7 linked regions of the Nothobranchius furzeri genome follow. The protein of the gene in region 6 interacts with the protein of the main gene of each other region in a pairwise test. Links are inferred from orthologs where the notes say so. Each region holds a gene or a part of one and is shown on either strand. Other genes may lie near its edges.

Region 1 (3,836 bases), on a different chromosome or scaffold from region 6:
CGCGCATGCTGTACGTGCACACTCCTTAACGAAAATAACAGCTGAGACGAAGCTCTGTGAAGCTGACGGGGGTCAGCTTCACAGAGCTCTGAGAGCTGACAGTCCCTTGTGTGTGTGTGTGTGTGTGTGTGTGTGTGTGTGCGTGCGTGCGTGCGTGCGTGCGTGTGTGTGTGTGTGTGTGTGTGGCCCGGAGGACAGAGCGCAGGAGAACGCGCAGCTAATTAATTAAATAATTTGGTTTTGTACCTTTCTCTTCAGCACAGCTGACAAAGGTTTAAGATGGGTCAGTCCTCCTGCATGCTCAGATCATTCCCTTCCCTTGCTTGAAAAATTGTTCCAAACTGAAAGTTGAACCCACATCTTTTTTTATCTATGAATTCAATGCCGTTCAGCGAGTCTCAAATAAAAATTTGGGCATCTTACTGTAAAAAAATTATCATTAATGTAAAAAAGAAACTCTAAATAAACTGTGTTCTCACCCAGAATCGTACCCGGGTCTCCTGCACGAGTCTGACGTCAAACTAGATGAGCTAAACCACCACTGAAGTTTTGGGTATCTGTAACATTTATATCCTTGATTACAGCTAAAACAACGTTCAAAGAACGGTTCTAAGCTAAAATGGCTATTTTGTTGCTAATTTGCAGCAAATATCTAGAGAAAGTAGCTAAGGGTCCTCAGAAATGTAGCTAGGTTCATCACTAGGCGTTAGGAACAGCGACAAAGTCGCTGAGTTGGCACTACCTCACTCTGCTGCTGAATCTACGAATAGCAAATGCTACGGGCTATGCCTGAGCGTGAACGCGCGTGAAGCAGCCTGCTCGACCCGAGCAGCTCTCTTTTTCTGTGATTTTACAGAAAAACAGGCAATCACAGTAAAAATGCCAGGGCTCATTCTACAGGACCAGGGCATTGCAGGAGAATGTATGAAGAAGAAATTTATTATTTCTATGCATGTTTTGGCTGTCAAACTTCCATAATGCCCCTTTAATGATTTTTTGTTCGTGTTTTGGATGAACTCAGAAGACCCAGATTGGTACCAAGAGAGCAGAGCCAGGTCATGAGAACGAGGCGGCCAAATCACCGGCTCAGGAAAGAAGATTCAGCTCGTGCCGTCCAACAGAAAACATCAGAAGTTCCTCTCGTCAGAGCCCCCCACCCCCCTTTCTCCCTCATTCATTTGGGAGTATGATTTCTACTTTTTGAAGTGAAGGGTCTTGAATCGCACTATAAAGGAATTAAGAGATCTCCCCCGAGTCTGTCATTCAAATGAGAGCATGGCAGGGATATGAGGGCTTTTTAATAGAAGAAATTAGTATTCACAGTGCCTTAAACTGGAATCTGAAGGAACCTTTCAGGTGGAGAAGAAAGGGCCAGTTTAGAAAAGAAAGCCCTAAGAAGTCGGGGGGCTTTTCATAGCAGTCGTGTTTTTGCCCCTCATCAAGGAGAGCTGGAGCACTCTGTGAAATAACCCAAGAGAGAGGAAGGGAGAAGGCGCACATTGTGTCTGTGTGTGTGAAACAAAAATTAAGCATGCACCATAAATAGGCAGAGTGGTAACAACACAACGAGGAGTCCCACATACTCGAGGCCAAGAGGGCTGCTCGGTTCCTCAAAAGTTCCCCCCGTGTAGACCCAGCCGTTCTGGGGATGACCAGAAGCAAAGTGATGCTTTGATGAAAGACCGTTTGGATTTTTCTACTGTTTCTGTTCGGTCCCAGAAAATTTAAATCAACAGTAAGTCAACATTATATTTTTATTTCTGTGGAGACTGACCTTGAAAACTAGTAAGTGAACTCAGAACTAGAGCTTTTTGCACACCTTGATGCAGCATGCCTTTGGTCATACTCCAACCATCTCCTGTGTTTGACTACTAAACGGTGTTACCTGTTTCTGTAGAGCGAGGACGAACACCTGAGAGGGGAGCTCTCTGACGCCACATCAATAGGACACACTGGCAATGGGCACAAAGGGTTCAGCTAGAAGTAAAAGTATCAATAAAATACAGATCTTAGAAATCAAAATGAAGTTTAAGTGAAATAAAACACGTGGTAAAAGCTTACTTGGTTCCTGTCAGGTTTTCCAACAGGAGGCAGCCAGAAGCTACAAGGAGAAGGCCACATTTTGAGACAAATAGACTTAGTAGTGGGACATAAATGTGCTTTCTAACACGAGTGTATCTCACTTTCTCTGGGAACGATCTTGGGAGAAGTGCCTCAGTCTTTCCACAAACGCTGGCATGTTGTGGCTCTGTTGGACGCAGACACACGATTAGAAATGCTAAACAAATGCTGCAACGGTTTTAAGCATTCATAGCAGTGAAGAAGGAAATGCAGGCGTTCTTAAACCTTCCTGGGAAGTCGTCTCCTGTCCTTCCTGAAGCAGCAGGCAGCAGAGCAAGGCAGGCGATTCAGACGTGAGTGATACCCTGCAAAACACAAACCTCATTGTTCCGTGCAAGCAAAGGATCAGAAAAGGGAATAACTAGTGTAACAGAACAGGAACAGTTAGTGATAAATAAAATAATAACAATCATTAACCTCAATCAAAGCTGTTTAACGGAACTGTGACGATTTAAAAAAAAAACTATTATTTTATTTAACTTCTTAATTCCAAAATTTAGTCAAATCTGTTCTGTTTTCACCAGAAAAATGTAACACAGTCTCAAGACCTACTACTATTTTCACATAAAGGGACAGAGGCACCTCTGACAGATTGCCGTGCAGGCTGCAGGAAGTTGGTGGAGGTGCGTCGACTCTCTAAAGAAAGTGAGCTGTCCGAGTCCCAGTTGGGCAGGAGTCCTGCCACCGCCTTCCCGACTCCACAGTCCCCCTCGAAGAACCAGTCGCTCTGCTCATCATCGCCTGAGGAAACGTAAAAGCACAAATGTGTATTAATCACAAGATTCACCTTGTTTAATCAATGCTGTTTCAGATTTTTCTCAATGTTTTCCAGTCTGATCCTTTTGTGTGGGAGTCAGAAATGTCTGAAGCTCCTCACCAGATAACATCGGTTTCCCCCCAGAGGCAGTGAGATCCTCTCAGACCTGTCACTCAGCATGGTGCACACAGGAACCATGCCTCTCACAGTCAAGGTGTAGTGACAACTGTTAAATCAGAGGCCGCCCGGCCCCACCACGGCTAATGAGATTAGCAAAGGCTTCAGCGCTCATTAACACGACATGACAACGTCTTATTAGAGTCGCCTGGGCGCCCAGCAACTGGCCCGCTGTAGCAGAACCTCCCTCTGTAGGCCCAGCATTCCCACTCTGAGTGGAGATGGGTGATGTCCACCTGACAGCTGCAAACAGTCACGAATCCAATCAAAGTCCAAGCTTTGTGATACCTTGTCTTCCTTCGTCGTTTGTGAACAGACCGGGGTCGCTGCTGCAGGTGCTGCTGGTTTCCCTGCAAAGAAAACAGAAACGTCTCCCAATCTTCTGACATACAAGAGCCAAGATCTTGGTTTAGATTTGTCATCTGAGAGTAGAGGTCGGCTGATGTTAGAGCATCTGAGAAGTGAACAATGTGAATGGAACATTTACATGCTCTGGTCACATCAGTGATCGACATGTAGCATTCGCTAGTAAAACTGATGACTGGAACTGGAGGTCGACGTGAGTGGAAATGACACAAAAAGACGGAGCGTGGTGTGTTCTCTCTTGCTGGGATGGTAAACACAAAGGCATCGAGAGCGACTCTGATCGAAGTCACTGAGTGACATCAACAATCTAATTGAATATCCTCCGCTGTCAGCTTCAATCTAATCTGGTCTGCGTTGTGGAGGATGACAGCGAAGAGGAACACAGTCTCGTGTCTGCCCCTCCCTCTGGGTGTGC
Region 2 (3,836 bases), on a different chromosome or scaffold from region 6:
CAATAATTATTCTGTGGCATTTATAACATGAATAAAAAAAATTATATATGTTTAGTGATGTTCACTAAATGCTGCATAATATTTATTTAGTCCCGTCAAAGTGCTGTAGGAGAGTACACTAGCGACGTCTCCTCAGTCTCAGAGAGACTAATTATTATTTATCAGCGTGAGGAACTTATTTCTACCTCATTTATAAACTATTTATTTACAGGTCCCATCAGTTAATGTAATAATTGTCCCAACCACAGCAACCGGAGGTGCGCTGTAACCCCCCACTCCCCAACCCCGTCTCGCAGCAATCAGGGGCAAGCTGCACGTGTATTTAGGGTGCCGCACGCGCACATTTTGCCGTTTTTAGCAGCTCGGGAGCCTGCAGGCACAGAGTGTCACTCACTCCGGTTAATCCAAGAAGGAGCCGGCTCTGAGAGCCGTTTCTTTAGCGACCGACGCATCACTACATCATTCCATTTCCTAATGTCCTGAAGGATGGTCCAGTGCGCAGGCGGAGTGTTTTTCTAACCCGCAGGACATGTCGACGACAGTTATCCAGAAAGTAGCTAAGGGTTACCAGAAATGTTTCTGGGGTGTTGGCTAGGTACTTCTTAGGCCTAGTCCACACGTAGCCGGGGGTTTTTTTAAACGAATATCCGCCCCTCCAAAAACTTGCATCCACACCACTTCGTTTTAAAAACTCTGTCCACACGTACCCGGATAAATACGTTGTTAAGGACATGCCAGACCTGTAGGCGGCAGTACTTCCCCCGTTCTTAACCTCGTCCTTCGTCTGTGGTCTTCCGCAAGGAGCAGTAATTCCGCTTGCAAAAACAAACAAGCAAAAAGCGCTTGGACAAATGATAAAGCGAGCGCAGCTCTGAGGGCATCCATGCTGTTGGCTAGTGTAAACACAGGTCGCACACGTGATGTCAGCATTTTTTTGTCGCGGAAAGTGACGTTGCGGACCTTAAAACTCCGGTTTTGTCTGTCCACACGCAGACACCCAAAACGGAGAAAACGCAGATCTTCACTTTGGCCGGAGTTTTTAAAAAGATCAGTTTTCGTGTGAAAAAACTCCGTTTTCGTGTGGATGACAGGCCAAAACGTAGAAAAATATCTACGTTTAGGCAGATCCCCGGCTACGTGTGGACAGGGCCTTAGATTTAAACAGTCAAGAAGGGGGTTTGAAAATATCAGTCTGTTGGAAATAGCGACAAAGTCGCTAAGTTGGCAACTCTGTTTTGAGGAGCGCTTGATTTGTAACCCAGAGCAGCGCAAGAGGGAGGAGCAAATAATCGGCTTGTTTTATTTGTATAAACTGTTCAAAACTCAGATCGTAATTGGGATTATAATTCCGTTAATTGAGCAGCCCTACATGGATGTGCGATGACGGAGAGCATTGCCGAAACAGACGCAGCTCTTCCCCACCAACATTAAAAAGTAAACCCCTGGTTTGGAGTTATCTGGAACTCGTATTTATCGTATTTCTATCGTACCTCTCCTCCTCCTTTCGTCTCTCCTCCTCTTCTTTCTCCCGTCGTTTCTGCTCCTCTCGCTGCCGTTCCAGCTCCTGCAGTTTCTGCCTCTCTAGGCTCCTTCTCTTTATGGCTGCATCACTAAGATGTTTGCTGGTGTCAAAGGTCACCTGATTTAAAAAAAAAATGTGATTAGTGATTTTTATGCTTTTTTTTCTGGTCATTTAAAGATTTGTTTTACTCTTTTTCTTAGCAAAAAAAAAACAATAAGTCAAAAAGCATGAAGGAAGATGATAACGTGTTACAGGACCAGAAATACCAAACTGTTTTTATTTTTAATTATTTGAATCTTTGATCATTTAAGTAACTCAGAAGGTTTTATTTCTGCTGCTTCGGTTCTCATTTCCCTAAAAGCTCTTAAAGCTACTTTGTGATTAAACTCCACTTAGCTGTTATACCGCTGCAGCAATCCCAACTCACCTAACACAGGCAACAAGGTCGCTGCTGTGCCCTAAAACGGATTGTTTGTTTACATACTTAATCATTTGTATGTTTTTAGTAAACATCCTGTGGGCTCAGTTTGAAGAAATTCCTCACAGATAAACTGGATTAGTCTGTAACAGAGTTGCGTTTATTACATTTTCACGTGCTTTAATCAAACCCAGTATGATGGATGGTTTCATTGTTGACTTGTTAGCTGCAGATTAGGAGGTGGAATCGTTCTCCTTCAGTCCTCTCACAGTTTTGTCCGTTAGAAGTGAGGATTCCTAGTTTGTCCTATAATCTGTTACATTTAATGATTGTTAAAAAAAACATAACATAGTGTTTTATATTTAAGATAAACCAATATGTGTACAGGAGGGAATGTATTTAGAAGATGTAAATTCGGACTCCAGAAAACACAGGATCAGATGGTACTTCCTTGTGCAAGAAAATACGAGTGCTTGCTCTACTTAACGGTGGACGGTAGAATTGCAGGAAGAAAGTTCTGGGACGCATCCTCAGTAGCGTTCCTCTGGATCATGCGGTGTTTCGGCCTTTAAATACTATACACCCTACTCAGAGGCGGCCAGCTGTAGGTTGATCAGACCTCAGCTTGCGTCCCAAGTCCAATTAGACATTAAAGTGTGCAACCTGGCACACTACTTGGGGGCCCAAATGGGGTCATTCCTCTTCAGCCAGAGCCACTGGCTGCTTCTTTCTGCTGCCTCTTATGTAGCTTTGATGGCTCTGCGCCGTTTCTGGCCCATGATTCCTAGGTCCCCTTAATAGTTTTGTGGTAGATGTTCCCACAAACCCTCTGCACCCGACCTCCACTGGAAGACCTCCAGAGTATGTGCCGGAGGGAGGCTGGCTTGGAGCACAGGACGCACCCACGATCTTCACCAAACCACTGGTGGAGATTAGTTGGTGTTGGTAGGACATCATACGTGGCTCTGATGGAAAAGCTCAAGTTCCTAGCTTCCATGGCCCATACATCCCTCCAGCACAACTGTCCACAGTCCCTGTTTGCCAAGGGCGTCTGCCTTGGCCCACCTTGCAGATTCCTCCCGACGTCGCACCTCATCATCCACCACCATCTTCCTCCATGCTGGAGCAGTAGCAGTTCTCCAGGCTGGGCGGCTAGCTTTTAGTCCAAGGCCTCCCCTTCCAAGGTTAACGTTCCCCACAATGTCAGCATGTCTAAGAGCTGCCGTTGCCTCCTCTACTGCTATTGCTGGTCTCCATTTGCGCCCGGTAACCAGGTTTGGTACGTTTTCTCTGATCACCGGATCTGTGGTATCGTTCAAGGTCATCTGCAACCGTGCTCTGGCACACTTGAACTCTTCCGTAAGGCCGGTAAGTGGCAGCTTGAGGACACGATCTCCGTAGAGGCTAGTGGTGGTGAGGCAACGTGGAACTCCCAGCCATTTCTTGATGTATGCTGTGACTCTTCTCTCCAGCTTCTCTACTGTTGTGACGGGCACCTCATAGAGTGCCAAGGGCCACAGCACTGGGGGTAGAAGGCCAAAATGGAAGCACCAGGACTTGAGTTTCCCAGGTAGTTGGATTTTAACAATTGCCTGTAGGCCTGCATTGATGTCACTGCACAGTTGCTTCACCTGTTGTTTATCTTTCAGGCTTCCATCGTAGTACCTTATGAGACTTTTGACTGGCTGCTCAGATACAGTAGGAATCGGGTCATCACCGGTGACGAACTGCGAGTCAGTGTGCTCTCCCTTCACCACCGAGATGCTGCGTGACTTAGACAGTTTAATCTTCATATGGGCCCACGTGATGTTCTCCTCCAGTAAATAAATAATTGTTGTATTCTCAGTTAACTATTTTATCTAGTAAAGTTAAAGTCCCATTAGTCATCACACACCG
Region 3 (4,369 bases), on a different chromosome or scaffold from region 6:
CCTAAGCAACTGGCCAAACGTAAAAATAGCACTTTCAGGAGCGGTGGTGTAAGTTTAAGTTGGTTAAATAACGTAATTTTAATGACTTAATGTTATTTTCCCCCCTTTCAACCCTCTTAATTTACATAAAAGGCTAAAGACTACACTAAGATTTCAGCATCAAGTGGAAGGAGGCAAAAAGCAGTTATGTTCAGAGTAATCAGTCATTTAGTTTTGCACTTTAAAACAAGTCAACAAAACATAATAGAAAAGTTTGTTTCTGTAAAAACGTGTTTTAAGGATTAACTTTATACTTTTTCTTCTTTAAATGCACAACACGTTCCCATCTGTAGTTTTGAAAATTTATAATTTGGCAAATATGTTGATTTAAGTTGTATTTATGTTCATTTTTATCATATAACATTTTCTCCAATAACTTTTTCACATTTTCAAAGAAAATTAGATATAATAATCGAATTATAATCAAAAAGGCTGAATCATAACTTCAGTAATAATTTGTTCCCACTGACGCCCATCTGCCATCTTTAACTGGAATTTTTACAACCAGCTCTGTAATGACACATTTTGTTTGTGCAACTTTCATTTCTAACTCTGCAAATTTTAGCACGTACCCTTTGCTCCAGAAAAAACATCTAGAAAATCATTTTTGCTCCATGTTCATACCTAGAAATGTGCCTCTCAATTCCGCATTTAATCTTTGCTATAGTGCTCCTAATAAATTAAATACTGAGTTACCTTTCTCAGAGAGGCCTTTTCACATACTCCATGTTTCTGGTTAGCGAATGTTAACTATAAATTAAAATCAACAACCAATTTATGAGGTATAATTTGGTTTTTATTCTGACAGGTTTCAGAATTACGACTTTAATCCGAAAGGAGTTTGTGTTCCCAGGCTCAGAGACTTGTGTTACCGTTGTGAAACTGCAGCTACATCACCACTGGTGAGAGTCTCACTTGTGAAAACAAGTCAAGGCAGAACACAGAAAACATCTCTGAGGTCCATAAACAAGTTTAAATTCCTCCTTGTATATGAACAACAGCAAAGTCTGTTTTGTAAAGAGGGAACATGAATGTGGAGAATGGTGCACCACATCAGACTGAATCAGTCCATTTCAACCATTATAGGGAGCCCGATTTCAGTGTCTCTCGACTCAGAGTTTTGTAGCTCCCTGCGAATTTCTGCAGAAATCTGCGGGTGTGTTTGTATCTTGAGCAGCTCCATCAGCGCTGCCTTCTGCTCTGAGGCCAGGTCAGCCTTGTAGCGCTGGGCCAGGGTGAGCAGACTCTGATGCCACAGCACAGGAAGAACACGTTTTTCGTTGCGGAAAGACAGGAAGTGGGCCACCAAGGCATCTAGAACACGGAAAGGCAGGGCGTACTTTTTGTCAAGCAGCAGACGCAGGAAAATGCTGTTGGCACCGTTGTACTCCATCTCTGCCAACTTAAGCATTGCAGCGCTGAAAGAAAGGACAGATCACACAAGTTATGTAACAGCAGACTTGATTTAACACATGTGTGTTTTTGTGTGAGGAGGTCCAACCTGGAGTGCAGCACAGGAATGGAGCATTTTGTGAGAATGCTCCCGATGATGATGGCTTCCCTCAAGGTGCATGTCCCAGACTCACATAAAGGAATCAGGATACCTATGTTATAAGGAATCAGGTATTAAACGCACGCTTCAGTGATGTTTAGAGCAGCATATATCATATTATCACAATGGTACATGACTTGTTTACAAACCAAACAATGTAAATGAGTCTTTGTGAGTCACAGGAAATGGGAAAATCCCTGAAAAATGTCAACCAACGGAACTCGGTTTGTTTTAAATTTGCAGTTGCACAACCATAAGTAGCGCAGATCAGGTAGCAGCTAAAGTGTCGCCAATTATACGTGACACTCATCAACAACAGTGGAGGCCGTAATCAGAGCTGTTTGTAGAGCGTAATGCAATGGATACGTCAGAGATGAAACAATATCTGTGTTTTTAAAACATGATCCTGAAACACTTTAAAGGAGGAGGAGTGATGGGAGGCTGCCACACCTGCTACAGGTTACAACGCAAAACAGAGCCTCAGGGAAAAACATCAGTGGAGACAAGGAAGGAGAATAAGCTCACTTTTAGCTTATATATATTTTATACATCATTAAAATTATGTGTTAATTATCCTACCTGTTCATTTAAATGTGTTTTTTTTAGAATTTACTCTTATTTCTACATTCCATTAGACTGCTTAGTGCTCCATGTCAAACTCTGATGTAGGGACAGGCCGCTATATTGGGCTGATATATACCACTTTTATAGAGCCAATTTAAAAACGGGCACATCTGTGGGCAGCCCGGCGATGCTGCCAAATTTTATTCAAATGTATACTTACAAGGGATGCACCAATATGACATTTTAGGGCCGATACCGATATTAATATCCCTAATATGGCAAATACTGATACTGATTGTGAAATTATGCAAGCTGAATTTTTGAATGTTTTTTTCTATAAAGTGCAAACTAGATATTATATATATATATATATATATATATATATATATGTGTGTGTGTGTGTGTGTGTGTGTGTGTGTGTGTGTGTTTACAATATTATATACACACCACACACATTTACGCTTCTGAGATGATTACCATCACTGTCACATGAATAAACAATTACAGATAATCACCCCTCCTCCCTCTGAAACAGATGCACAAATGGAATCATGTTGGAAAAATAATCGGTTGTTGATATTGGCCCAGTTTTATTCGTTGGACCAATGTGATATGTTAACAGATGACTAACATCGGCCATACCGATACTGACGCAGACATATCATGCATCCCTAATTTTACGTTCCTGACTAACAAGTGCTTGATAAATGCTCAGTTATATGTAATACTTGGTCAGTTTATTGATGTGTGACTCTGGTTTAATGTTTCATCCTAATACTGATCAGTGTACAAGATTAAGATTCAACAAATGGTTAAAATCAGAGTTCAAAAACAGTTAATGATCTATATTTGTATAGCTCCTTATTAGGGTTCGACAACCCCCCACGGCGCTTCACAACACAGTCAGTCATCCCCCCATTCACACGCTGGTGATGATGAGCTAATTGGAGCCACAGCTGCCCTGGGGACCTGTCCCCATGACCACCACCAGCAGAAACTGATTCAGGTTCAGAAATGTTGAGCATCAACAGATGTTATTAGTGACAATTTAGGATGCAGATATGTTAGAAAACGTCTAGACATCGGCCATGAAAATCAACCCAAAAAACAGGAGCACATATCAGCCATAACTGACCGTGACCTCTACATATGAGCATCAGTATCGGCAATAGAAAAACCATATCGGTTTATCTCTATAGTCTGATGTTTACAGCTTCATTAGTTTAGATGAACACACAGAAATCACATTGTGAAAGTTTCATTAAATTTGCTTTGATATGACCAAGATTGATTTACTGAAGCTTAAAGAGATCTTTACCATTTTGATTTCAATGTCAAAGTGATCTACAGGTCAGAGGATTTCAGATAAAACTCTTACAGGTATTTTAATAAACAACAAACCTTCTGCTGGAGCTTGAGTTTGAAACAATACATTAATTATGGCTCAAGCTTCATTAAAGGTGTTTAACATACACGCATGTCTAGTTATCCTTTAAGATCTGTGTCAAATGTTTCAGTCAGTAGGATGGAAGCTGTAGTGGGTGAGAACTGGAGTTAGTTTATCATCTACCACCATTTATTAGTCTGAACTGTGGATGGAAAAACACCCATCACTAGTTCCCAGTATGATGGATCTTAGAGCAACACTGCCACCTAGTGTTTAAGGCTCAAACTGAAGTTATTTTGAATTCAGGTCATGGATTGTTAAAGTTAAAAGTTAAAGTCCCATTAGATGTCACACACACAGGTGTGTGTGCGAAATTTGTTCTCCGCATTTGACCCATCCCCTGGGGGAGCTGCAGACACAGCTGCACTCTGGAACTATTTGGTGGTTTAACCCCCCAATCCAACCCCTTAATGCTGAGTGTCAAGCAGGGAGGCATTGGGTCCCATTTTTTCAAAGTCTTTGGTATGACCCGACCAGGAATCGAACCCCTGATCTCCCAGTCTCAGGGCGGACACTCTACCACTAGGCCACTGAGAAAGGGTAGAATAAAAGGGTAGAGAACAGGAGAATGTTCCCTTCAAACTGCAGGGATTTGTGTTTTCAAACAAATGAAATCAAAAGAATGTTTTTAAACATCTGATTCCACATATAAAGCTTAATTTGACCTATTAATTAACACTTTTATCCAGCCAGAAAAATGGTGTCACTCCTTCAACAGACAGCAGCTAATCCTCCATTAGCATCCTCAGTATAAAAATAATAAATCA
Region 4 (4,266 bases), on a different chromosome or scaffold from region 6:
TATCTTCTTGCTCTCTGGTGAAGTACTGTTGGCCTGTGAGAAGTGCTCGGACATAGCAGCGAGCGCCCGATACCGATGAGAGATTGAATTCTTTACTTCTTTGGGAAGTTCAGCGTAACTGGAGATTAAAAAAGAAGAAGAAAAGAATGAAAAAGAAATGCTGTAATTTGAACAAATGTACGGTAGAATCACCGCCATGGTGCTTCACAGATTAAGCTCTGAGAAAGTGTGTTATCATCTGGCTCCCTCTAGTGGTTAAGTAAGTGTGCCTACGTTTTCTCAAATCCATTTGGCTGGAAACAAGGGTCCCATCCAAAGTCTTTTGGCCCCCTTGGTTCCACAATTTGTCCCTGGAACAACACAATGAATATGTAAGCAGGAAATACACAAACCAGAACATGAAAAGAGTCATTCTGACCTCTGTTTTCCCTCTGAACAGCTGCACAGGTTCATCTTTACCAGCACAGAACGCAAAGGTGCAGAGAGCCCACGCTGACTTGTCTTCAAACCCAGCTAGAAGTTTGTACAAACCTAAAACACAACGTCAGACCCCAAAACAAGATTTTTAAAAACTTTTTGTTATACATCAAGATGTACATTTTATTTAATCACTTACCCTCTGGTTTGAGTTTATCAAGAAACCATTTGCTACAAACATAAACATGTTTACAACTCGTTATCCCAATCTGAGCGCATTAGCAGTTTAATACTTTATTATAAACTGTACCCACATGTAAGGACCAGGTAGTCCTCCCAAAGCCCTAAAACACAGGCAGGTGTCCTCTACTATGACTGGTCCATCAATCTTAAGGACAAAAACAAAGTTTTACTTCACAGAGCATCTGGTTCTTGAAGAACATTCCAAATTAAAATACTGTACCTGCTGCGCAGCTTCCTTACACTTCTGAATAGAAATCTCATCTGGCTCTCCCTGGTACTCGGGTACTTAGGAGAAAAAAGAGAAGACACTTTAGTTACAATAAACTTACATTTTAGATGTGGTGTCACACTGAGTACTTACAATCGATCTTTTCTGAGACTAGTTTGTAGGGAAACTTGTTTCCGAGTATTTGAACAACCTAAAACACATACGAACCAGAACAAAATGGAACAGTTCCCCTTTCAGAAATATCAAGCAGAACCCGGAATGACGTAATAAGTTCTATATTGGGGTAGCCACGAAACAAAGCAGGAAAATGAAAAACAGGATAAAAATTCTTACTTCTTCGAGTTTTTTTGCATTTCCAGTCACAAATACCACAGTTCTACCAGCCATGATGAAAATCACCCGGAAAACTAACACAACCGGACCTTGCAGCTTTGCAGTAACCAATAAAATCCGCTCTTAGTGTCTAAGCGAATCAGCGAGCAGTATATGACTCCGCCTACAAAGGTTAACCAATCACCCGTAGGCACTAGTAAGAACCGTGTCCGGGTAGAAACGTGAGCTCGGTGCCATGTGGAGTGAAAACCGTGCTGGAGAGTAGAAACCAAAACACGTAAAAATGAGTCTTTTACCCCGAACCGCCGAGGAGTTTAGCTCAGCTGAATACTGGGAGAAATTCTTTAAAAAGCGCGGAGAAAAGGCTTTTGAGTGGTATGGAGACTACAACAAACTGTGCGGCGTCTTGCACAAATACATCAAAGTGACGGATAAGGTGATGTGTGACATAGCATAAAACAATTCAGTGCAGCGTTTCTAGACTTAAATTAACTGAACAGTAATCATTATTCTTTATATTATTACAGCATTTTGTTTATATGTCAGTGCGCTAATTTCTTGTCATGAAATGTGATTTTATTTTTATTGTCTTTTGTTGCATGTTTAGGTGCTGGTGGTTGGTTGCGGTAACTCTGAGCTGAGCGAACAGCTGTATGACGTGGGCTACAAACATCTGATGAATATAGACATAAGTGAGACAGTGGTGACACATATGAGCCAGAGGAATGCAGAGCGAAGGCCTGGCCTGCTTTTCCATCAGGTGGATGCTACTCAGACTCCATATGAGGATGTCAGCTACCAGGCTGCTCTGGACAAGGGCACCCTGGATGCTATGGCGTCACAAGAGGAAGGAGTGTTGGCTGGGAAAATGCTCACTGAGGTGAGAAATCATCTCATGTGATAAACAGCGAATCACTATTACGGACGCTAGTGTGTTTCTTACTGTACTTTTTGATTTTGCAGGTAAGCCGTGTTCTCTGTGTTGGAGGGAGGTACATCTGTGTGACGCTGGCCCAGGAGAGCGTGATTAGGTTAGCTGTGGAGCACTTTGTTCAGCTTGGATGGGCGGTGAGACTCCACTGCCTGCAGGAGGAAAGAGGTGCTGAAGAGGAAGACTCCTTTGCTCTGCCCATTTTCGTCCTAGTCTGCACTAAATTCCGTCAGCCAATGCCTATGCCCATTCTTGAGATGTGTATTGGGGATGATGGTGCCCCTGTCCGGCACACACAAGTTAATGAACTGTTATCGTCTGTGAGAGAGTATCAGGCTTATTCTGTTTTGAGGAAGCGGCTCCGCACAAGCACTGATCCTGGCTCAAATCTCTCACTAACTCTCTGCCACGTCAAAACAGGACTGCCCAGATACACTCTTACAGTGCAAGACTGTCCACCTGGAGCCAAGGTGCCACGATCCAACCAGTTTGCTATATTTATTGGTGAGCTTCCATTTTGTTTGTTGCAATAGTTGTATTTTTTCCTCTTACCTTATTCTTTCCGTTTGTTTTGCCAGTTCCACAAGGGAGTGAGACAGCTTGGCTCTATAGCTCTGTTGAGGGCAGGAAGCAGCTGGCAGCCAGTGCAAACTTCCGGCGCCTGGTTATTGTTTTGATGCACAGAAATCAGGAGTACACAGACATGCAAGCTGTCCAGTCAGAGCTCTCACCTGTGGTCATGGACCTGGCTCCACCGTGTATGCCAACCAACCAGCAGGTAAACACATTTAGGCCGATAACATTTATTTTAGAACTACTTTTCAAAAGATTAAAATGTGCAATAACACCAAGCACATCAGGATATTAATTTGAGTGACCTTTTCTTGTTTAGGTGCCGTTTCTGTCAGTGGGGGGTGACCTCGGTTGGCGAGAGGATGTGAGCAGAGGTGTGAGTCGGCTCAGTGGCGAGTATTGTGTGGAGAATGTCAGAGGAGAAGATGGAGAACTTTATCGTCGACTTGTGTTCCTGTCAAATGTTGCCCTCGTTCAGTCGGAGAGCCGACTCGTCTCATCTAACACGGGTTTGTTTTTCAATCCAGTTCAATTCAAAGATACTTTATTAATCCCAGAGGGAAGTTTTTGTCATTTTTTTGTCATTCTTTCCTGTGTCTTTCCTTGCAATGTTGTAAAAAAATTTTTTTTATAAATTAACAGCAAAAATATCATAAAATGTAAAGCACACATATGAATGTTAATTGTTACTTATTTCAAGGGTTGTTCAGTATTATTGGTCTACCAGTAATATTGGCCGATATTGGCAATAAAATTTAATATCAAAAAACATTTGTATCGGTTTTCAGTCATTTAAAGAGCAAGTCACCCCTACCCAATTCTTACTCCACTCCCACTTCCTGTTTGAAAAATGCAACAAAGGCTGTAGCCTAGCAGACCGAGAGGGCAGAGCTGCTAACAAATACACACACACACAACATTGTGACATCATAATGTACCATCTAACATCATAGTGTACCTTTTAGCCAATAGCGATGGCAGATTTAAATTCAAATGCAGTGCAGTTTTTACCTGACGATAGTGCAACACTGACAGTTATAGGCAAAATATTTAAACCTGAACTAAGATGCACTAAAGTGTCGAATTATTGACTGTACATGTCTACAGCATGATCAGACTCATTTATTTAGTTTATGAGCAAAAAAAAGTTGATTTGGAGTGACTTGCTCTTTAATTACCCAACCTTTACATACCATACACATATTGTACATCAAACTCTTCAGCTACTTCTCCCTCTCAAAATGCAAAAATAAGACAGTTTTTGAGATATTTTAGATATTTGGCACATCTTGTGAAGCAGATATTTGCCCTGTGTGAAGCATGTAGCTATGTGTAGCTAGACAGCTAACAAACCACAAAAGTAAGAATCTTCACCAAAGACCGGCCTTTCTATCTGAAGATGTTTATAAATGTTTTATCACAGTAAATGCAATATACAGAAATAAAAAATACTTTACTAATAAACACAACTTAGCATCACACTAAAGGAGAACGAGATTCAGCTGCTGTTGGAGACAAATAAATATGGCATTTTTCCTAT
Region 5 (4,528 bases), on a different chromosome or scaffold from region 6:
AGACTGCAGATCCTGATTTAAGTCAGTAGGTGGCAGACTTAAGCTGCTTATGAGTGTGAATTATGGGATTTAAAATTGTTAAACTTTATCAATATAGCTCACAATAAAATTCATAGGTATAGTTATGATAAGAAATGCATCAAATAAAAGCGTTACAGCACATGTACGTTTTAAATGTGTGAAGATATCAATTAGAGCTTATTTTCTACTTGATCGATCTGTCTAGTCTGAATGCTGTGTTTGCAAAATAAAATGTCTGGATGTTTCTGAATGGATTTTTTTAACTAAAAAATCAAAACAATAAAATATAGTCAGATAAATTATAAAAATATTACTATTTGCTTAAAATTTCTAAAAATTGGACATTATTACAAATGCAACCACTAAATATTCTCTTTTGATCATCACATTTATCCACTAACACAATTTTTCATCCTATAACCTCACATTTGAGGGAACACCAAATCACAACCGCCATTTCAGGGATAATGGGGGAGGTTGAGCATTCTGCCTCAGGACACGTCGACATTCACCAGAAATGTTCTAATTTTCAAAAAGAACCACACCAATCCACTTTTAACGCAGAAGCACAGATTTGTTTTGTGTTTTGTATTCCAGTACCGTTTACTCTTGCACACCAGCTTACTCAAATTTTTTTCTACACTGTTTGTTTTTCCAACAAAGCACTGCGAGATGTTGCACCTCAGTTTGCTTTCCCTTCTTAAAAGCCAAGAGAGAGCAGACCTCTCAGTCACTGACACTGTCCGAAGATGCTCAGTTTGGCACAGCTTCTAAAAATTATTGTTTGCTTTGTTAATCCTGTGATCCTGCAATGTGTCATTTTAAATCCTGCCTGTATGCTCAACATGAGGTGTAGTGAGGATATCAGTAGGAGTGTAAATCTGACCCAGCAGAACGTAAACCTAAGGAGTCCAAAAGATTCACACATGCAACAAAAATAAAGGAAACTCCCAAATAAAACACACAAGGAGTGCTAGTGAAAATTACTGCATCCCTCTGGAGAGTGGGCCGTATAGGAGATGAGGGATTTGATGAATCAAGGACCTTTTGTTTGCAGCAAAATGATTGCTTCAGAGCAGTTGGAAAGAACAGATTGTCGCTAGCTCTTGGCAGGCGGGGGACCGTCATTTGGAGCCATTTAGGTTTGAAGCAGCCGCAAAGAGGGACGGAGGAGAGCAAGGTCATTTAAAGAGGATGCAGAAGGTAATGATGTGGCCAGTGTGGGGTGTTTAAGTATGTCTGCTCTGGTAGAATCCAGCAGTACACACACACACACACACACACACACACACACACACACACACACACACACACACACACACACACACACACACACACACACACACACACACACACACAATGAGGATTCATCTTTTTCTTTTGCTTAGGATTTTCCATTACACTGAAATTTGCACCAAAAAACCTACGATGACAAAATTAATCTGTCTCGAACATCATCATCATCATTATTATTATTATTATTATTATTATTATTATTATTATTATTATAGTATTATTATATTTACAACTATCATTATATAAAATTATATTGTATGGAATTTAAAAAAAACATTAGTTTGACTGACCTTTATTATCAGTATTTTCACTTATTGAGCTTGAATTCATGCACACTGAATTCCTTCTGTGTATGAAATATGCTATATAAATAAAATTTCCTTGCCAAGTTTATTTGTGCAGTTACAATTCATCTAATTTAAAAATATTATTTTAGAAAAATTGGCACACACTTAAAAATGCTAAACATGCCAAAATTATAGATGAAACCAAAACATTCACACAATTAGCCAGATAATTGTATAACAACATTTGTTTACGATAACTCACATTATGCAATAAATGGATATACTGATTTGGAAAAACGACTACATCTCAGTGAGTGCATTTTTATTCCCTTGTGGGGACAATAAAGAACTTTCATTTAGCTAATGCTTCTAAAATTTTTGATTTCTTTCTCTCCTTCATTCACATGAAGTAATGTGAGGTTTTGTTGTGCATAAAAAGAATGAAATACATCAAAACACCTGAAATGTGAATAGGCTTACAATTGTGTTTAAAATAATTTACTTTCTTTAATCTGGAAAGAGAAGATCAATTTGGATAAAGCAACTCATAATGAATTTAGGCCAATTTCCGTTTGGGTTACACTCTTCTTAAATAAAAAAGAAAGAGCAATAACAAAGTAAAATCAACCAACCTCGTGAAAAGTAAAAGATAAAATGGCAAACTACCGCTGTTTTCATTTCACATTATTTTTAAAACACTAAACCGATTGCTTACTCGAATTGCACCTATTTATGAATAACCCAGTCAATTGGTGCTAAAAATAAACATGGAGAACTTTATTTTCATCTTAAAGTAGAAAAGGGAAATTAAGGGATATTTCAGAAAGAGGTCATCCTGAAATAACGAGTTCAGTTTACATTAAATGACAGAAAGTGAAATTCAGAACAAAATGTTATTTGGAGGCAGTTTTATTTAAAAAAAATATAGTCTCGGACACATTATTAGCCACATGAGACAAAAAGCAGGTTGGACACAAGCAGAGAGGAAAATGGTTTTCCTACCTGAGTCAGACGGCTGCAAAGCTCCTCTGTTGTCGCTGTCCATTTCCAGCTGTCACAGATTACAGCGCGTGCTCAGCGGCTGGAAGCGCTTCAGTCCCGCGAGCCAGTCAAAGTGAAGGAAGATAAACCGCACGGGTTAACGTGCGCGCGCGCTGCGCCACTGCCTGCGCGAGAAGATACCGGACCAGTGCGCGCGCGGATGAGAGAGGAAGAAAGGATGAATTGACGACTGTAATCAGTCTGTTTGAAAACAGGAAAAAAGAGGCGCTAAGGAGGGGAGCCGCTTTCGGGATGAGGAATGTAGGCGGTACATTCAACATTTAGAAGTAAAACACGTGGAAAGGGATCACAAAGCGTTAAACAAAAGAAATAATGATAACACACGTGTGTGTGTGTGTATACAGGTCCTTCTCCAAAAATTAGCATTTTGTGATACAGTTCATTATAACGTTCATTATTTTCTGTAATGTACTGATAAACATTAGACTTTCATATATATTAGATTAATTACACACAATTGAAGTAGGTCAAGCCTTTTATTGTTTCTAATATTGATGATTTCGGCATACAGCTCATGAAAACCCAAAATTCCTATCTCAAAAAATTAGCATATAATGAAAAGGTTATCTAAACGAGCAATTAATCTAATCATCTGAATCAACTAATTAACTCTAAACACCTGCAAAAGATTCCTGAGGCTTTTAAAAACTTCCAGCCTGGTTCATTACTCAAAACTGCAATCATGAATAAGACTGCCGACCTGACTGCTGTCCAGAAGGCCATCATTGACACCCTCAAGCAAGAAGAAGACACAGAAAGAAATTTCTGAAAGAACAGGCTGTTCCCAGAGTGCTGTATCAAGGCACCTCAGTGGGAAGTCTGTGGGAAGGAAAAAGTGTGGCAGAAAACGCTGCACAACGAGAAGAGGTGACCAGACCCTGAGGAAGATTGTGGAGAAGGACCGATTCAAGACCTTGGGGAACCTGCACAAGCAGTGGCCTGAGTCTGGAGTAGAAACATCCAGAGCCACCGTGTAGGCGTGTGCAGGAAATGGGCTACGGGTGCCGCATTCCCCAGGTCAAGCCATTTTTGAACCAGAAACAGCAGCAGAAGCGCCTGACCTGGGCTACAGAGAAGCAGCTCTGGACTGTTGCTCAGTGGTCCAAAGTACTTTTTTCGGATTAAAGCAAATTTTGCATGTCATTCGGAAATCAAGGTGCCAGAGTCTGGAGGAAGACTGGGCAGAGGGAATGTGCCAAAATGTCTGAAGTCCAGTGTCAAGTACCCACAGTCAGTCATGGTCTAGGGTGCCATGTCAGCTGCTGGTGTTGGTCCACTGTTTTTTATCAAGGGCAGGGTCAATGCAGCTAGCTATCAGGAGATTTTGGAGCACTACATGCTTCCATCTGCTGAAAAGCTTTATGGAGATGCCAATACTGTCAGCGCGCTGCGGAGTGGAGCGGAGGAAAGGCGTGGATCCAGACCGGGGAGTAAACAGGCAGCAGGTAGGAACGGTCAACCAGGATTTATTAAGCACGCTGGACAATGAAACAATGATCTGACACAGTACAAAGAACAGACAGGGTTTAAATACAGGAGGGTTGGGAGCTAAGGTGATTGGGAAACGAGAGGCAGGTGGGAGTAATCAACGAGACACAAGGCTGAACTAAACGGGGAGACATGACCGGGTGTGACAGTACCCCCCCCTCAAGGGGCGGATCCCAGACGCCCACAGGAACGAGGAGCAGGGCGGGAGGAGGGGTAGAGGAGGAGGCGACGACAGGCTCTTGGAGGCCGGCGTCTGAGGCAGAGGAGGAGACGACGGGCCCTTGGAGGCCGGCGCCTGCGGTAGAGGAGGAGGCGACGGGCCCTTGGAGGCCGGCGCCTGCGGCAGAGGAGGAGGCGACGGGCCCTTGGAGGCC
Region 6 (4,607 bases):
GTCAGAGGCAGAGAGAGAGGTAAGTGGATCTCTGGGGGAAACGGGTCTTCCAAAGATTCGGCCTGCAGGACAGAAACCAGACAGATTTGGGATTTTAAACCACACTTCAGAGTCTCAGGGTTAAAGCCTTCAGGGCCCAAAACATTCACATCCAGAACCAGAACCACACTGGGACTCTGACCTTCATGCTGAGGGTAAAGGTGAACAGCGACGGGACGGCGTTCTCCTTGAGAACCCGGTTGTTGCACTCCCTCTTGAAGCAGTCTTTGGTGAAATGCTGGGAGCAGATGTTGCTGTACTTGGTGGGTTTGAAGTTGTTCCTCCTCATGGCAGCGACCCATTTCCCACAAACATCTGGACGGGCCAAAGGAAACCTGGGAAAACACGTCAAATGGTACAACAGCTGGGGAAGTGAAGTCCTCACAGGAACGTCATTCAGATGAAGACAGGCAGTGTTGGGAACGTTACTTTAAAAAGCAATTAGTTATAGTTACTGATTACTTTGTCAAAAAAAGTAACTCAGTTACAAGATTATAAAAGTAACTAATTACCAAGAAAAATAACTACTTAGTTACTTTTTTCATTAAAGAATGCAAGAATTACTATAATAGTGAAATATAAATGACTAATGACTGGAACATAATAAAACCTGAATAATTTAAATAAATAAGCACTTAACAGGAGGAACTACTAATAGGAACATTACACTTATCTAGACTATTAAAAGGTCTCTGTGTGATATTTAACAAAAACCCAATCAGCTAACATTTAAAATTGCAAATAGAAACACCTGTAAAGGTTCCCGAGCCTTTAAATGGTCTCTCAGTCTAGTTAAATTACAGAAATAAATGTAATTTTCTACGGTATTTTAATTTTTCCAGCTTCACATAATTGTGTGTTTTTAGTAGCATTTCTGTTGCAGGTAATCTAGTAACGGTTAAATAAATAAATAAAATCCTTTAAAATGACACTAGAAGAGGCACAAGCCTGATGGAGGACTTACATTTACTAACTTGGGTCAGACCCAACCACAGAAGAGCTGAAGCTGGGTGGTAAACACACACAGGTAGTTCTGATAACACCTGAGCTCCATGACGTCTGAGACTGATGCATCAGTGTTACAGCGGGACTAAAGACATGATCAGAAACAGGTTACAGCTGGATGATCTAGGAAGGTAGAAGATCAGGACGTCTGAGAGGTGAACAGGTGAGCGGACCTTCGGGACGTCCCGCTGTCACGCTAAGAGCACGGCTGCAGACCCACAGATTCGCTACTGCAGCAGCGAATCATTCATCACGTCTTCCTCGTTCTTCACGGTCCGTGATGCTCTTGGATGAAAACATCTACCTCTTTAGCTCCTGATCAGCTGATGACAGCTTCAACACACCGCGCTGCTTAACGCACGCATTTCCTTATCAGTAACAGAAATGACGTTTTGATAAAAGAAGACGGTAATTAATTAGTTTGCTCGTTACAGGAACACTTTTTTTTTATTAACGCGGTTATTTTAAACGGCGTTATTCCCATCACTGCTCTGTTGTGTCTACAGAATGCAGCGACTGAGACCGTGAGGGTCTCCGCCCACCCGGCCAATCACCATCGTGTTTGTAAGTGCGTTACCGACACCTCTCTCTCCCTGGCTGCAGCTGAAGTGTGGCGGTCAGAAAGCCTCACGCTGCTGCTCAACGTTCGACAAGCACGTGGTAACGGTAACGGCGTTGCAGCAGTGGGAAAAGTAATCAATTAAATTATTCCGTTACCTAAAAAAGAACGCCGTTAGCAACGCCGTTATATTTAAACGTCGTTACTCCCAACACTGAAGACAGGTGAAACAGAACTACCTCATCACTTCTACTTCTAAACACAACTGGGCTCAGTAAAACCGACGGCTGCAGGTAGAAACACGAGAAGATCCGAAACGTCTTCAAGAACCGTCAGGAACCCAAACCATCAGAGGCTGAGAAAAGAAACCAGGTCCAGTGGACTAAAAAGGACCCATCCTGTGAGTCCAGTCTGCTCTAGATCAGGAGAGGATGACGGAGCTTTGGTCTGGTTCTGGTTCTGAGGACAAATCCAGACCGTCTCTACAGCCAGAGATGATTAGCATGGAGGTCATGACCTCCACCGGAAGGAGGACATGTTCTCACTCCATCAGAGCAAAGCACGGTGGTGGTGATGAAAATGAACAAACGTCAACTCAGACAAAGTGACTGATGAGTTCTGGAGGAACCAGAACCCGAGCCAGAACCAGCCTCTGTAGCTGATCTGTGAGAAAGCAGAATGATGAAGATTTTAGTGAAAAAATCCAAAATGATTCCAGCGATAAAATAAACGACTTTTAATAAAAACCTGAGTTTCTCCACGTGACCCGATGACGCCGCATTAATTACAGCAACTTTACTGAAGTACTGAATGTTTATCTAAACACCAGGAAGTGTGAAACACACCTGCGCCGACGCTCCTCCACACCTGGCCTGAGTTCTCTCCACACCTGGTTTTATGCTCCTCCTCACTTGGCTGCTGCTGCTCCACACCTGCTCTGATGCCCCTCCACATCTAGCCTGAGGCCTCGCCACACCTGGTTTTATGCTCCACCAGTCTGGACAACTGGAGGTGTTTCTGTGTTTGTAGAATAAACTGGTCCTAACCACTAGCTGCTCTGGTTTTGCTCCAACATGTCAGACTAATGGGACTACAACACCTGGACACCTGTTGAACAGGTGGTTCCTCTGTGAGGCCGCTGCTCGGACTTCTGCTTCATTCAGCACGAAAACATGAATGAATAGACTGCTGTGACTGAACGAGGCTGTTTCTGAGACCGGACCGAAGCTCGGGCGGGCTAACGAGAGTCGGCGCAGAAACACCGGAGCCGAACTTACTTGTGGAAGGAGACATCTTTGTCTTTGTGGTACCGGTTCTTACAGCCATAGGCTGAGCACGTCTGGACCATTGTTTCATCCCAGAAAACGAACCGAACCTCCGCCAAACCTCGTTGCCGTCAGTCCGATCAGGCTTCACTGCCAATAACAAACATGGCGGCGGAGACAGGGTCACCTGACCCGCGTTCTGCCCCCTGATTGGCCTCTCTTCCTGGTAACTGTCATTTTAGTGTGTGAAGCGAAACTTGTTAGAATTTTTTTTATTATAAATCGTTGCAGATAAAAAAAATAAAAATAAAATAAGTAAAGGATAAAATAAAATAGTCACAGAAGAGCAGTTGGACAAAAAACATCTTTTCTTTGAATGCTTTTAATAACTATCACTTGATTTCATACAAATATCCTTTTGTTGTCTTTTTACCGTGTCCTGTCCGGCTGTGAAGCAACCAGAACTGATGTCTGACTGCTGAAGACGAGCCTTGCAGCTTTATTCTCTCAGGTGGAGCTCACAGCTTCTGCCGTAGCCACTGCTGACACCAAAACTTTATTAGCAACACTTTCGGACACAGAGACAGCTGTGAGAGAAAGGGGGAGAGTGAAGGAAGAGGTGAGGGAGGATGAATTATATAAATAATAAATGATGAAGAAGAATCAGCTTCTGGAGAGAGAGAGAGAGAGAGAGAGAGAGAGAGAGAGAGAGAGAGAGAGAGAGAGAGAGAGAGAGAGCGTGAAAAGGAGACACACAAAAATACAACAAGACAAAACATCGCTGCTCCAACAGCATGAGGATATATAACAGTAACTGCTTATGCTGGGAAGCATACCATAATAATTCATAGTGCATTTAGATATGCAGGCAGACCGAGGCACCGCCCACCGGTAGAACAAGTGGCAGGAGGGTACGCGAAGATGTCGTAACACCTCAAGATGTCTCAGCAGAGGAGAGGAGTCCAAGACCCCACCTGACGTACATGCATCCCTCATGCTTACACACACACACACACACACACACACACACACACACACCCTATTCACTCTGGTCCTGGTACTAGTGATGGGAATGGCTCAGCTCACCAAAAAGAGCCGGCTCTTTCGGCTCCCAAGTGGCTCCTCAGATTTTCTTTTGCGCAGAATACATTTATAACCAAAATAATGCAAAACTATTTGTAAAATGATTTACTAATGTAAAAAAATGCTGTGTATCAAATATTTATCATTTCTATGGATTTAATAACTGAACACTTTAAGAAATCTCCACTTTCCGACTGCTGGCGCTAATTTTCTCACCGTCTTCGTCGCACTCTCCTCTCTCTGCCTTTTTCCTCCTCCTCATTCCCGCTCGCCTCCCTCCGCCCGCATGTGCTCTGCTGTGTGTCTGAGTCTGATCCTCCCTCTTCTCCGCCCCTACTGCTCTGTGTGTGGACAGTCTGGACACGCAGTTACACATGTTGACCAATCACCTGCAGCTTTCACCAAGGCAGGGGGGGAGGGGGAGGGCTCCCATCGTTCACTTCAAAGAGTCGGCTCTTAGAGCCGGTTCGTTCGCGACCGACACATCACTACCAGGTACTACTGCGCAGAGGACACAACCATCCCTGGACACCAGAGCTAGCCCCGTTCTAATTAAATAATCTAATCTCTGCTCCAAACACAAGACAATAAATCTGCTTCAAATGCATTTATTTATTTTTACCCAAATTCTGCTTTTTTCTTTATTGCCTACTCGT
Region 7 (4,475 bases), on a different chromosome or scaffold from region 6:
AAACTCAGCTATCAGTGTATTTTTTGGAATTTTTTTTATACGTTGAAACTTATTAGAAACTATTGTATCTAAAACAACTATAACCAAATTGCTGGTGTTATATTCTAATTTCACACCAGAATTTGAAACAATTTAAAGCGTGTTTGCAATGTTTTCTTACAAATGTGCCTCTAACAGAGTAGCTGGCCTCAGCTTGCCCCTTTATAATATTAGAGCCTCATCTGTGGTGCTACTTCTGTGCTAACCCCAGAGCAGTTAACTTTAAGGTGGCAAATTAACAATAACAACAACACAAAAATGACACGATGAACCTTGCAGAGAAAGTATAGTTTTAGCCATTTAGCAGTGATTAGGAAAATGCAAAGACCCCAGTCTGTTTTGATAAGCAGAATACATTTTCTTATAAAATAAAGGCAGATTGAATTTTTCAGTAGTGAAGTGGATGGAATCACTTGTTGGTATAAAAATAACCACAATGTTAATTAATTATGAGCTAAACATAAGAAGAAACTAATGAAACTATGACAAAAATTGTTTTCGTGTACCTACATTTTACATTTATGTCCATTGCAGTACAATTATGTATAATTTATTTATTTGATTAAATAAATTACAAAATACGTCAACTATTTAAATTTTTTATATTAGAGGACTTTTCTATTTTTCTGACTACTTACTAATATATTAAAGTATTGCGACTTTTACTGGAGTACAAGCCTTGGGCTCCTCTACCTTCCTCTGGCACTGGTGCGTATCTCCCAAACAGACGTCTCTGCAGTGTATATGCTTTTGTCACTCCTCTTCCCAAAAGCCAAAAACACAAAACTAAATGATGTGTGAGTCTCTTTCTAACTTTTAGGCACCTCTTGTTGATTCCATTATCACTGGTAATTACCATTAACACTACTGGAATTGGTGGTGACCCAACCAGCCCTTCCATGTTGGGCAAAGCCCAATGAAATCCAGCCCCTTCCCTTTGGCTTTAAAATATTTTGATTAGAAATTTGCATTTAAATTAAAATAATTCACGTACAGCCTCAGGAAAAGTCTGATGTGGTAAAACAACAACAACAACAACAAAACAAAAGAAAATCAACACAGTCAAATTTGTGTAATATCCATATGTATGTGTTTCTGTATGTTTATGGCATCATTGGCATATCATAACAAACCACATGATGTACCATGAAATAATAATAGTATTAAACAAAAACAACCACCTTGAAGCAGCACCATCTGCTCCTTTGTAACGAAAAACAAAAACCCAACTTTTATGTAGTTTTGCTCCCAGTATGTCGATCCTGGAACAACAATAAAGAGGTAGAAAGGATATTTCTCTCAGCTGGCGTGCTTATTATCAGTATCCTGGCTATCTGTCAAAATAATTCACTCATCAAGGGTATTTTGCTGCAAATTGTTCCAACACAAGATAAAAATGTAACCATTTTAACAAGTTTTTGCTAGTCAAATTATGGCCAATAGTCCTTAGCCCTTATGCTACTGTATACGTCAATGCCTGTTGTATTTCCTGCTCTTCCTGTCTGACACACACCTCCATGTGCTGATAAGAGACCTTACTGGTTCATACCTACCTGAGAAGAATATAGATAAGAGACCTTACTGGTTCATACCTACCTGAGAAGAATATACAGAGTTCCGGTTTATCCAGTAATGACTCTCAAGGTGGTTCCAGCATTCAAAACGTGTGACATCACCTACAGTGGCGTCGTCAGAAGTGCTGAACTTACAGTGTAGGAGTGTGTTGATGCAAAAGGCGAGAGTCAGCTTGGGTGTGAACTTGCATTGCTCTGAGATGCTTAGCAGCAAGGAAGCTGATAAAATGGATGAAACAGCTGCAGTGATGAGGAAACAGCAGTCGGGTCAAAGCCAGCCAATCAGCAGGGATGTCTGTAGAGGAGGGGGCGACAAATTACAACTCTGCAGGTAATTCATTCCTACTCCGTGATCAGAACAGTTCCCTTCTCTAATCATTAAATATCAAGATCTCATACGTTTGTGAATGGGCTGTCTTGTTGAACACACACACACACACACCTCCGACTGCTCCCTCAAACTGGATATTGTCTCTATTGCAAGATCAGATTTAACTGTTTTGCTGTTGTGTTCATGAAATAACTTCTCCTTTTCATCGTTGTAAATCCGTGTTTTTTCAGCGTTGGTATCTGTGATGGAACCCTAACCCTATTCTGTGTTGTTTCTCTTACCTGAACAACATTTTACTGGAACTGATCAACACTTCATGTTTATAATAAACAAACTATAAAGTTCTATGGGAAATGTGTTGGGATTACTAGTAACGTCAAGGTGTGGATTTTTGTCCCATCTGATGTCTGATTCAGGGATTAGTCAGATCCAAGACTAATGGCGGAGACTTATGTGGCTTAACTTTTACTTGTTTGTGACTTCAGAAGATTAGATAGGAACCTGTTGGTCTGGATTGATGCGCTCAGTGAGGAACTGGATTCAGATGGTGCTTATGACACCTCCTGCTAGAGATTATGTTCCAGATGACCAATTAAGGATTTATTCCAGCCTGTTCTTTGAGCTGAGTGGCTATGGTAAAGAAAACAATCCCATCAACTTTTTTTTGATAATTTTGCATTATATATGTTTTTATTGTAAGGTAATTTTATATTATGTGATATTTTATTAGTTTATTTTTTTTTATCTCAAATTTTAACCCCAATTGTGTATTCACTGTTCGGGTATATTCCTGTTGAATTTCATAAGTTGTTCTATTAAATTTCAGCAAAATTCATAACCAGTTTATTATAATTAGTGGGTCACAGGAAATCTTTTAAAGCAGAAATCTTGAGTTTTTTTTTGTCTGAATGCACCGCCTAGAGGTGAAAAAATGTATTATGCCATAAGCCCCACCCCCTTCAAACAAACTTATGGATGACTTGTCCATAAGAAATGTTGCAAACTTTGCACACTCTGTGATTGTATGTAAGCGAGTATCTAACGCTATTGGCTAATGCAGAGCGACGCCTAATTAAAATTACTCTAGCCTCTGTGGGACGGGGGACTTTGCAAAAAAATAAGAAACTTTTACGGATTTCTAAAAAAATCGTACATAATTCCTGAAGTGACCGAAAATTCTGTGTAGCTGCTTTAATATAAAGTTAGGCAGAAACACGCCAACATTTTTCTCTTTCTGATCCAGGGTGATGAGACCGGACGATGCGAATATTATGGGCAACGTTCACGGTGGCATCATCCTCAAGATGATTGAGGAAGCTGGAGCCATCGTTGGCACGCGGCACTGCAACACACTCAATGGAGTAAGTGTCATATCTTGCGTCATCTGTCACATGGTGAACTTTATTTTACTGTTGCTTTTATCGTCTCATCTGCTGTGGCATTTTTTTCATATTCTGGATGTTGTCTGTGAAGGTTCTCAGTCATCCAGGTCATTGTAGTCTAAGAAGCTTTGAAAGAAAAGCGTCTGGACTTCTTTGAGTTGCTTGAAGACGTTTCACCTCTCATCCAAGAGGCTTCTTCAGTTCTAAGGTCAAACGTTGGAGAGTCCCAGATTCAAACCCAGTGAGAGTTTCCACCCGAAGAGGGAACAAAAGACCCCCTGATGATCTTCTACACATGACTACACATGAGCCAAGGTGTAAGGGTGGGTGTGGGTCCTATTCAGCCAGAGTTTCGGGTGAGATCATTGTGAAACCTGGCCCCACCCTATCATGTGAATTCCTGAGGTCAGATGGCCCATGATATGCGTGGGCGTTGAGGCATCTGGGAAGGGATCTCAAAACTGAATTGTAGATGGCAGACAGTTGGTGTCGTAAATCACCGCCTCTGTTCAAAAATGGTTGCTCACAGTGGACATAAATGGCTTCCTTTACTCCTGTTTCAAACCATCTGTCCTCTCTGTCCAAAATGCGAACATTGGCATCCTCGAAAGAGTGACCTTTGTCCTTTCGATGCAAATGAACTGCTGAGTCCTGTCCCGTGGAGGTGGCTCTTCTATGTTGTGCCATGCGCTTATGAAGTGGCTGTTTGGTTTCTCCAATGTAGAGGTCTGGGCATTCCTCGCTGCACTGTACAGCATACACCACATTGTTCAGTTTGTGTTTAGGAGTTTTGTCTTTCGGGTGAACCAGTTTCTGTCTGAGTGTGTTGCTGGGTCTGAAGTACACTGGTATGTTGTGTTTGGAGAAGACCCTCCTGAGTTTCTCTGATACACCGGCTACATAGGGGATTACAAGGTTGTGGCGTCTGTCTTTCTTATCCTCCCTCGCTGGTGTCTGGTCTTCTTTCCTGTGCATTTTTGCTGACTTTATAAACGCCCAATTAGGATAGCCACATGTTTTAAGTGATTCCTTTATATGTGTGTGTTCCTTCTTTTTCCCTTCCGGCTTAGAGGGAACATGTTCTGCCCGGTGGTGTAGGGTCTTGATTACTCAAAGTTTGTGTTTCAGAGGGTGATGTGAGTCGAAGAG

The links.
Region 1: the proteins of thap1 (region 6) and G patch domain-containing protein 2-like interact in binary tests that used the Homo sapiens proteins (3 or more experiments, as listed by UniProt). The two-hybrid records come from large-scale screens. The link is inferred for Nothobranchius furzeri from reciprocal best matches to the Homo sapiens genes THAP1 and GPATCH2L.
Region 2: the proteins of thap1 (region 6) and akap17a interact in binary tests that used the Homo sapiens proteins (3 or more experiments, as listed by UniProt). The two-hybrid records come from large-scale screens. The link is inferred for Nothobranchius furzeri from reciprocal best matches to the Homo sapiens genes THAP1 and AKAP17A.
Region 3: the proteins of thap1 (region 6) and bysl interact in binary tests that used the Homo sapiens proteins (3 or more experiments, as listed by UniProt). The two-hybrid records come from large-scale screens. The link is inferred for Nothobranchius furzeri from reciprocal best matches to the Homo sapiens genes THAP1 and BYSL.
Region 4: the proteins of thap1 (region 6) and mettl13 interact in binary tests that used the Homo sapiens proteins (3 or more experiments, as listed by UniProt). The two-hybrid records come from large-scale screens. The link is inferred for Nothobranchius furzeri from reciprocal best matches to the Homo sapiens genes THAP1 and METTL13.
Region 5: the proteins of thap1 (region 6) and zinc finger protein 385C interact in a two-hybrid assay, tested with the Homo sapiens proteins (3 studies listed by BioGRID). The two-hybrid records come from large-scale screens. The link is inferred for Nothobranchius furzeri from reciprocal best matches to the Homo sapiens genes THAP1 and ZNF385C.
Region 7: the proteins of thap1 (region 6) and acot7 interact in binary tests that used the Homo sapiens proteins (3 or more experiments, as listed by UniProt). The two-hybrid records come from large-scale screens. The link is inferred for Nothobranchius furzeri from reciprocal best matches to the Homo sapiens genes THAP1 and ACOT7.

Annotation. Positions count from the first base shown.
Region 1 is NC_091758.1:32,657,580-32,661,415, reverse strand, and holds part of G patch domain-containing protein 2-like, read right to left. Parts: intron 3,406-3,836; coding exon 3,344-3,405; intron 2,863-3,343; coding exon 2,704-2,862; intron 2,427-2,703; coding exon 2,347-2,426; intron 2,249-2,346; coding exon 2,184-2,248; intron 2,102-2,183; coding exon 2,062-2,101; intron 1,978-2,061; coding exon 1,886-1,977; intron 1-1,885.
Region 2 is NC_091754.1:16,992,291-16,996,126, forward strand, and holds part of akap17a (A-kinase anchor protein 17A), read right to left. Parts: intron 1,640-3,836; coding exon 1,491-1,639; intron 1-1,490. UniProt on the Homo sapiens protein: Splice factor regulating alternative splice site selection for certain mRNA precursors. Mediates regulation of pre-mRNA splicing in a PKA-dependent manner.
Region 3 is NC_091743.1:46,638,228-46,642,596, forward strand, and holds the end of bysl (bystin), read right to left. Parts: intron 1,644-4,369; coding exon 1,541-1,643; intron 1,458-1,540; coding exon 1,103-1,457; 3' UTR 814-1,102; downstream 1-813. UniProt on the Homo sapiens protein: Required for processing of 20S pre-rRNA precursor and biogenesis of 40S ribosomal subunits. May be required for trophinin-dependent regulation of cell adhesion during implantation of human embryos.
Region 4 is NC_091748.1:42,295,608-42,299,873, reverse strand, and holds the start of mettl13 (eEF1A lysine and N-terminal methyltransferase), read left to right. Parts: upstream 1-1,423; 5' UTR 1,424-1,505; coding exon 1,506-1,658; intron 1,659-1,829; coding exon 1,830-2,102; intron 2,103-2,185; coding exon 2,186-2,657; intron 2,658-2,731; coding exon 2,732-2,931; intron 2,932-3,045; coding exon 3,046-3,235; intron 3,236-4,266. Other genes in the region: itpa (inosine triphosphate pyrophosphatase), read right to left, coding at 1-118, 274-350, 419-531, 617-648, 732-805, 881-945, 1,022-1,079, 1,223-1,276. UniProt on the Homo sapiens protein: Dual methyltransferase that catalyzes methylation of elongation factor 1-alpha (EEF1A1 and EEF1A2) at two different positions, and is therefore involved in the regulation of mRNA translation.
Region 5 is NC_091756.1:38,929,084-38,933,611, forward strand, and holds the start of zinc finger protein 385C, read right to left. Parts: upstream 2,840-4,528; 5' UTR 2,650-2,839; coding exon 2,607-2,649; intron 1-2,606.
Region 6 is NC_091746.1:71,097,002-71,101,608, forward strand, and holds the start of thap1 (THAP domain-containing protein 1), read right to left. Parts: upstream 3,067-4,607; 5' UTR 2,952-3,066; coding exon 2,881-2,951; intron 1,139-2,880; exon of another isoform or gene 1,006-1,138; coding exon of another isoform or gene 1,004-1,005; intron 375-1,003; coding exon 182-374; intron 63-181; coding exon 1-62. UniProt on the Homo sapiens protein: DNA-binding transcription regulator that regulates endothelial cell proliferation and G1/S cell-cycle progression.
Region 7 is NC_091755.1:32,418,027-32,422,501, reverse strand, and holds the start of acot7 (cytosolic acyl coenzyme A thioester hydrolase), read left to right. Parts: upstream 1-1,344; 5' UTR 1,345-1,765; coding exon 1,766-1,944; intron 1,945-3,187; coding exon 3,188-3,305; intron 3,306-4,475. UniProt on the Homo sapiens protein: Catalyzes the hydrolysis of acyl-CoAs into free fatty acids and coenzyme A (CoASH), regulating their respective intracellular levels.